2 linked regions of the Pelodiscus sinensis genome follow. The protein of the gene in region 2 purifies or fractionates together with the protein of the main gene of each other region. This does not show direct contact. Links are inferred from orthologs where the notes say so. Each region holds a gene or a part of one and is shown on either strand. Other genes may lie near its edges.

Region 1 (3,745 bases), on a different chromosome or scaffold from region 2:
GTAAAAAGTACAAAAATAATAAAGTGCTGTAAAACTTAAAACAAAAATTCAGTTTTCTCCAAATTTCAGATGTGTGGACGTGCCCCCCAGACTTCTCCCGAGTACCCTTCATAGTCTTTACCGCAGGCATCTCAAGGGAAGTAATAGGCCATCAAGCTGGTGCTGCTCTCATCACCCCGGGAAGGGTGCAGAGGGCCCTGTGCCCATTGACACACTCACTAGTGGCAGCCCCACAGGCCCCCCAGAGGGAAGAACCGCCCCCCTGCCACAAGGGGCCCCGCCCCAGGCAGCCGAGCTCAGCGCCCCCCCCCCCCCGGGGCTGCCACGTCTCCACATCCCCCCCAGAAAGGGCCCCCTTGGTGCTAGGTCCCGCCCCCCCCCCACGGGCAGCCCCCCTTTCTGGGGGTGCCAGGTCCCTCCCTATCGGGAGCGGCCAGCTCAGCAGTGGGGGGGGGGGACAGGCCCAAGCCAAGGCCCCCCCCGGCCTAGAGTGCGACAGAAGCGCGACGGGGTGGGGGAGGGGCGCGCGGCGCCCCTTTACCTGAGCGGGCTCAGGCCGCCGCCAGCCTCGCGTCTTCCACCGAGCGCCGCTCTTTCCACTGCCCCCCCCCTCCGCTCTATGGTCACATCACTTCCTCGCCCAGCCATTGGCTGCCGCTCGCTCACCGCGGGCCAACGCCCGGCCTCGCTTGCGCGTCCGTGCGCCTCCCAAGACTCCCGGCGGGCTCTTCCAAGCGCCTCCCTCCGCGCGTCGGCTTCTCCCAGGAACCTTCCTCCCTCATTCCGCCACGGCTCTACCACGCACCTCCCTCCGCACGTCAGCCCGGCGGGCTCTTCTAGGCACCTCCCTCCCTCAGCTGCTGCAATTCTTCCAAGCACCCCCCCCCCGCCCCGTTCCTATCAGGCACTCTTAATATTCCTTCCCACACCCCAGCCCTGCGGGACTAGTGTGCCTCTCCCGCTGTCCCCTCACACCAGTGACATGCAGAAAACCAGCAGCACCATCCCATGTAGACGCCTTGTCGCCTACCACCAAGCAGATGGGCAGAAACACTAACATCATGCTATTTAGAGGCATGATATAGTGGAATACCTGCCAGCTTATGCACTAAAACGACATGTGTCCTATTATATGCAGCATGTGTGGATGAAGAGACATCAGAAAACTTAAAAATCCATCCAAAGTCTGACTCTCTTTCAGAAATGAAGAAAGGCATGAAAAAATTTATTTTGCTGGTTTTGCTAGCATTCCTCAAAGAAGACATATCACGTATACCCAGATTTAGGGTTCAAGCCATTTTCCATTGAAAGCATTGGCATAATTCCTACTGAGACAAGCAGGAGCAAATTTGGCCTTTTACCGGACACTTCACAATGATTATTTAGAACATTTAGCTTCTATTCATACCTCTAAAAACCAACCCACCTACAGCCCCCTCACAGCAGGTACTGCATAACTATATGATAAATTACAGCTCTGGTCTCAAAGAGCTTACATACTAAAAGTGAAACTCTGGCATTTCTCCTCATTCCTTTTTCTGATCCCTAAGATCATCAGGGCTCTTGTTGGTCCCACAATAGTATCAGTCCCATTATTTCTTGAAGTTACTTTCTTTTACTCATTCCTGGGAATCTATCCATGTGGGGACACCATTACGCCCTAATGAAGACAATTAATTTCTATACAAGAGTAGGGTCCACCATGATCAGTTGGCAGGATTTGGTCTCTGCTAGTAAACAGCCTAATCTGGTTGCAGGGGAAAAGGATCTGGAGGGAGCCAGGGGGAGGGAAAGAACTGAGAGAAAGCAAAGAGGAACTATGAAGAAATGATGGATGGGAAACAACTCATTTTTTAGTCCTGACAGCGGTCTGGCAACCTCTTGTTTATGTTTTTTTCACATTTCAAAACTGAATATGTAAGTTCACCCTAACAGCAACCAGATCTGCCAGAATACCCTGGTGTAATAGACTCACTGGGGTCCCCAGGGTCTGAGCGTACTCAGCCTGCTCTGGGGCTACAGGACTGTCTACACTGTAAAGGCGGCCTCGCTACCCCGCTAGAGCCGTGCCCCAGGACAACCCGCCTTCCCCAAGGCCCGGGGGCTGGAGGAACGGGCCCCCACGCTGCCCAGGGGCGGTGTAACGACGAAAACCGTCCCGCTCTCACCTGGTCAGGCGCGTCAGAGACAGTCCCCCGCGGGCTGCATTTCCCAGGCGCGGCCTCGGCTCACGGGGGGGGGGGGGGGGGGGGGGGGGGGGGGGAATTGGCCCCACCCGGAGGGGCTGCTCCTGCTGGGCGGCGTTCCCGTCCCTGAGACCCGCGGTGAAGCGGCCCTGTCAGTAGAAGCCGCTTGTTCCCCTCCGGTCTCTTATCCGCCGCCGCACCGGGCGGTGGTCACGTGACACGCGCTGTCCGCCACAAGTCCCGGATGAGGAAGTGAGGCAGCTGCGCGGGAGTCACCCCTCCCCCCCCGCCCGGGCCAGTGAGACTGGGCAAGTGGGGGTGGCTTTTCCCCTCCCCCACCCCTTCGCATTTGGCCGGGGGGGGGGGGTAGTATGTGCTTGTGGCTCCCCTCCTTCTCCACTGGGAGGAGGGGGATTTGCCTCCCTTCGGGGGTGGGGAGACCATGCTCAGGCAATTGCACCAGCTTCCCTCCAGCGTCCCTGGTGGGTGGGGGCGGGTCTGCTCCCAAAGGGGGCTCATCCCCCTGGCTAAGGTGGAGCCTTCGACCAAAGGAGACTGGACCCCCCGGCTTGGGGGTTTTCATGATTCCTGCAGCGCTGGCTGGGAAGGGGAGGGTGGCCTTTGCTGACCAGGGAGTTGTCATTCTGCAAGGGATTAAGTCCCGGGGATGAGATATTATTGACCCTAGGTATAGTCATTGGTGTGGGGCGTCAATCTGGGCGGGGGGGGGGGGGTTAGGGTGAGTTTGCAGCTCAGAAAAGCTGCAGCATTTTTATTCAAGCTTTAGACTTGAATGTTACTCTCTGCAGAGAATGTGTGGGTGAGTGCTCCTGAATCAGGCTGCATTTTCAACCGCTCATAGAAATTCTTCTCTAATTCAAGGTGTGGTTATTTTTTTTACGTGAAAGACCAAAATTCTATCATAATAATAAGTTATAACAACCCTGATGTGACCAGAGTTAAGCATATTGGCAAGTAGGAGATCTTAGGTAGCTATGGAACTGATGCAGGTGCATTTTCTGTGGAGTTGTGGAGTGTTCCTGGTGTTTCTCTGTGAGACTGGAACCTATAGGGCTAATTCTTGAAATATAGTGCTGTCAAGAGCTTTATAATAAGAAAAGGAGTAAGTTTCTTTGTGTTGTTTTTACTTACCAAGGAGACAGGATGTCATCTGTCTGCTTTGCTTGGAGTAGCTGAGAAGAACCAGGATTCAAAATGAGAACCAACAAGGTCTACAAACTCGTCATACACAAGAAGGGCTTTGGTGGCAGTGGTCAGTATCCATTGGTTCATAAGTGTTTTGGGGGCTGCTCATTTCATGATCAGTGATATAACTGGCAGTTTTCTATAATATTTTAATGAACTGTAAGGAAGCTGGCTTCCATTTTTGTTAAGCTTTTTCAAACAAAATTTTAAGGGAGGAACTTTTGAGTAATCTACTGTGTCACTGGTCAGAAGGTGGAAATATCATTGATAGTAGAATACGAACTAAAATGCACAAGTGCCAGTTCACACTTCTGTACAATATTAGCTTCTGTGACATAAAATAGCTTTAACAC
Region 2 (3,745 bases):
AAATGTAATTTATTTTTAAGGCCTGGCAAAATGTTTTTAAAAGTGCTTAACAATTAAATGAAACATTTACTTTGAGCCAAAACAATTTTCCCCCAAGTTTTTGGATCTTTGAAAATGTTGACATTGTTTTGTTTTCGGTTTAACACAAGTTGATTTACCCCACACCTCATTGTGACCCAAACATTTCTGGGCTGGGGCAGGAGATTGGGGTGCAGAGGAGGTTTGGGGAAGCTAACCTGCTTCCTACTTCAGAAGACATTCAAATCTGCACTTGAAAGGGAATCCTCTGAACTGGCATTCATGCTAAAATTCGACACTCTCCGCAGGGGACTTAACAAAGACTCCAGCTATCTTACCCATTACAAAGATAGCTTCCCCAATTATCATCTCTAATACTATTAACTCACAGACATCTACCCTTCCCCACCTCTAATATCATTAACTCACTGGCATTCACCTCCTTCCCCCCCCCCCCCACATCCCCCTTCTGTTCTGAAATATGATTTGTCCTTTTCATATGTGTTCATTTTTTTAACTGTATCCTTTGGTATATATGGTTGTGACAATTTTCTTCCACTATTTGATCTGAGGAAGTGGGTCTGGCCCACGAAAGCTCCTCATCTAATAAACCATCTTGTTAGTCTTTAAAGTGCTACATTGTCCTGTATTTTGTTTCAGCTACACCAGACTAACACGGCTACATTTCCATGACTTCATAGGTGAGGCATGATGTTATGGTGCAAGCTGTGGTATTATTGTGTTGTGACATCACAATGGGTGTTGTGACATCTCAGCAGCTCTGTGACATCACTGTGGGGGGCCTTAGTACACTCCAATTGGCCGACCTCATTGTTGTGTTTGTACTGTGAGTGCTGTTGCCATGGGGACGAATCCAAGATGGCCGACGCCACTGTTGCTCCGGGCAACATATCTGCAAGCCCTTCGGGGTCCCGCCCTCAACATCAAGTTTAGTTTAGTTGCCCTCCTGCCCATTCATCGCGAAGGTTCTTGCTCCTTGTCACTCAGGAAAAGCAGCCAATAAACTGCGAGAAGTCGCGGGACGACTGGAGGCCGCAGCCAATAGTTTAAGGGAGGAGGCGGGTTTAAGGAACTGTTAATGAATAATAGCTTAGAAGACGGTATGATTGACGGGCACGTTACCCAATTGAAGTGTAGTGAAGGCGGCGCTGGTTTCTACTCCGCTGATTGGGTATTAGCTAGGGTGGGATTATGTTGGGGTTTTAGCCAATGGGGTTACGGGAGGCGCGGGGTTAGCGCATCTAGAGTCAATGAGTACGGAAAGTGGGCGGGAGAAAGACACAGCAATAGCCAATAATAATTCAGATGGTTCAGCTCTCTCTACCAATGGGATTCCAGCTCCAATACAGGTACCAACCAATGGCATGATACGACAGGCGAGGCTGGTGCCGGAATAGCCAATGAGCTGAAAGGCAGGCGGGACTACAGTCGCCGTCAGCCAATGAGTGCGCAGCCGCCCCTGCAAAGCGGCCGAGGCCACCCCGCGCCGTTCTTAGTGCTAGAGCCGGGAGCTAAGATGGCGGCCGCCGACGGAGACGACTCACTCTACCCCATCGCGGTGCTGATCGACGAGCTGCGCAACGAGGACGTGCAGGTGCCAGCCGAGGCGGGGGAGGCGGCGGGCAGCCGCGGGGCGAGCGGAGCGCGCGGCCGGCGCCCAATCACTGTCCGCCTCCCATGCCCCGCTCTGCGCCTTGAGAGGCGGCGCCTGATTGGGTGGGAGCGTCGCATCGCGCTGCATGGGGAGGGGGGCGAATGAGGGGGGCGTCTGATCCCCCCCAGCTCTAAGGGTCAGATGAGAGAAGCCCCCTGATTGGCTGAGCTGCTCCTTTCATTCCAGGCTCTTTTCATTTACCCTGGATCGCTGAGCCCTGATTGGCCGTGCGGTGTCGGGGGTGGGGGTGGGGGTGGAATCACTCCTGGTCCTTGGTTCACGTGACCTAGGGTGTGGCGCGAGGGGGTGTCTGATTGGCCCCTTCCCGGGTATATTCTCCCAACCTAGCCAATCACAAGCTCTGACTCCTCCCCTCCAGGGTTGGGTGGGTGGCAGGAGGTTGATAATTGGCTCCCTGACCCCACAATATACCATGCCCCGCCCCAAGTCTGGCCAATCACAGAGACCGCTGCAGGGTGTACCCTGACAAATGGGGTTCTCCCTGGGGGGCTCCCTGTGGTCTAGTGGGGGGGGGGGCACTCATCCTTGCACACTCTGTGATTGGCTGGGGGAAGTGTCTGTCACGAGGCGCCTGTCCCTGTGGGAGCCAATCCTGGGTCTCCTCAAGGAGATGCTGAATGTGGCTGGTGGTGGCGCACCCCAGGACAGGTTGGCTCCCTATAGCCAATCGCAGGGGCGTCCTCCCCATCAGCACCTTACTACGTGCCACCATGACTTGTGTCCCAAGCTTGCAAAAACCTGTGCCCCGTGGCCCCCCCCTCCCTTCCCGCCACCGGTGAGCTGCTGCGGTCAATTGGCTGGGGAAGGCTTTGGTGTGATGAGGGCACTTCCCCCGGGGGAACCAGTCCTGGGACTAGCCCGTAAGTAGCTGCCTGATTGGAAAAGTTTCTGCTTTATAACCATGGTACATATGGAGAGGGCACAGGCCTCTGGTCACTTCCTGTTTGGGGGAGAGGGGGCTTGGGTTCCAGACTTCCTGTTTGGGGGAGAGGGGGCTTGTTGCAGGGGGTGCCTGTGGGATCAGGTAGTTTGTGAGCTGAGGCTGAGGGTGGTGGGAGATGGAGGACATGGGAGCAGAGCAGAAGTTTCCCAGTAGGGAAGGGGGTTGCCTGTTGGGTGAGTGGAGCTAAAGGGGGAGGGTGTTAGATCCACATATGACTTTTTAGAACCTCATTGGGGGTCTAAGCACATACCTAGGGGTGGGGTGTCTGTCTTCTCCCAATCCCTTCTCTCCCTGGCTATCTCCAGGGAGTCGCTCCCAGGGTGGGTGTGTCAGGAAGATCAGAACTGGCCAGACAGGATGCCCCGGTGGTGACATAGTGAAAGGGAGTGGGAGTACACCCTGCAAAGGGGAAGGCCTCTGGGCTGCATGTAGGATTGGGATGGGGAGTGTGATTTATTGGTTAGAGAAGAAGGAGACCCAAAGTGCAGGATTCCTGGGTTCCCTTCCCAATGCTGGGAAAGGTTGTGAGCAGTATTCCCTGTAAGCTCAAGAACAGATTCAGATGCCATGCAGCTGAGTAGCAGAGCGCCCACAGCCGGCAGCGTGTGTTTCTACTGGTGGTGCATATCTGCACATGCCTTGTGCAGAATACATTTTGTCATGTGCACCATTTTTTTCCCTCTAAGGGATCATTGGTTGTGTGGGTCTAGATGGTAGATTAGGACGAACTGGGAGCTGGGACTCCTGGGTTCTAGCTACAGCTTTGGGAGGGGGGTAGGGTGTTGGGCATTAGAGCAGAGGACTCCAGTTCTTTTCCCTTCTGAATGCAAACATTTGTCCACTGTCTATGGGCTTGTTGGCTGCATAGCTTGGAAGAGAGCCCAACCTTCTCTGGAGTAGGCAGGAGGGCGTTAAATTAACAAGGAAAGGGGCGGATAGAAAGAGGGAAGATACAGGCACTGAGCCCAGACTTGAGATGCTGAGAACAAAATCGAGGAGCGAAAGGATGTGAAGCGAAGAAATTCTTGACTTGTCGTTGCTCTGACTCCAGGTGCTCGGGTTAAAAACCAAGGAAGCTGGAATGACGC

The links.
Region 1: the proteins of PPP2R1A (region 2) and PRR14L purify together in Homo sapiens (affinity purification with mass spectrometry; 5 studies listed by BioGRID and IntAct, with this or other methods). This does not show direct contact. The link is inferred for Pelodiscus sinensis from reciprocal best matches to the Homo sapiens genes PPP2R1A and PRR14L.

Annotation. Positions count from the first base shown.
Region 1 is NC_134725.1:8,074,829-8,078,573, reverse strand, and holds the start of PRR14L (protein PRR14L), read right to left. Parts: upstream 2,253-3,745; 5' UTR 2,169-2,252; intron 813-2,168; exon of another isoform or gene 667-812; intron 662-666; exon of another isoform or gene 542-661; intron 1-541. Other genes in the region: GATOR1 complex protein DEPDC5, read left to right, coding at 3,402-3,459.
Region 2 is NC_134734.1:2,926,557-2,930,301, reverse strand, and holds the start of PPP2R1A (serine/threonine-protein phosphatase 2A 65 kDa regulatory subunit A alpha isoform), read left to right. Parts: upstream 1-1,473; 5' UTR 1,474-1,480; coding exon 1,481-1,633; intron 1,634-3,745. UniProt on the Homo sapiens protein: The PR65 subunit of protein phosphatase 2A serves as a scaffolding molecule to coordinate the assembly of the catalytic subunit and a variable regulatory B subunit.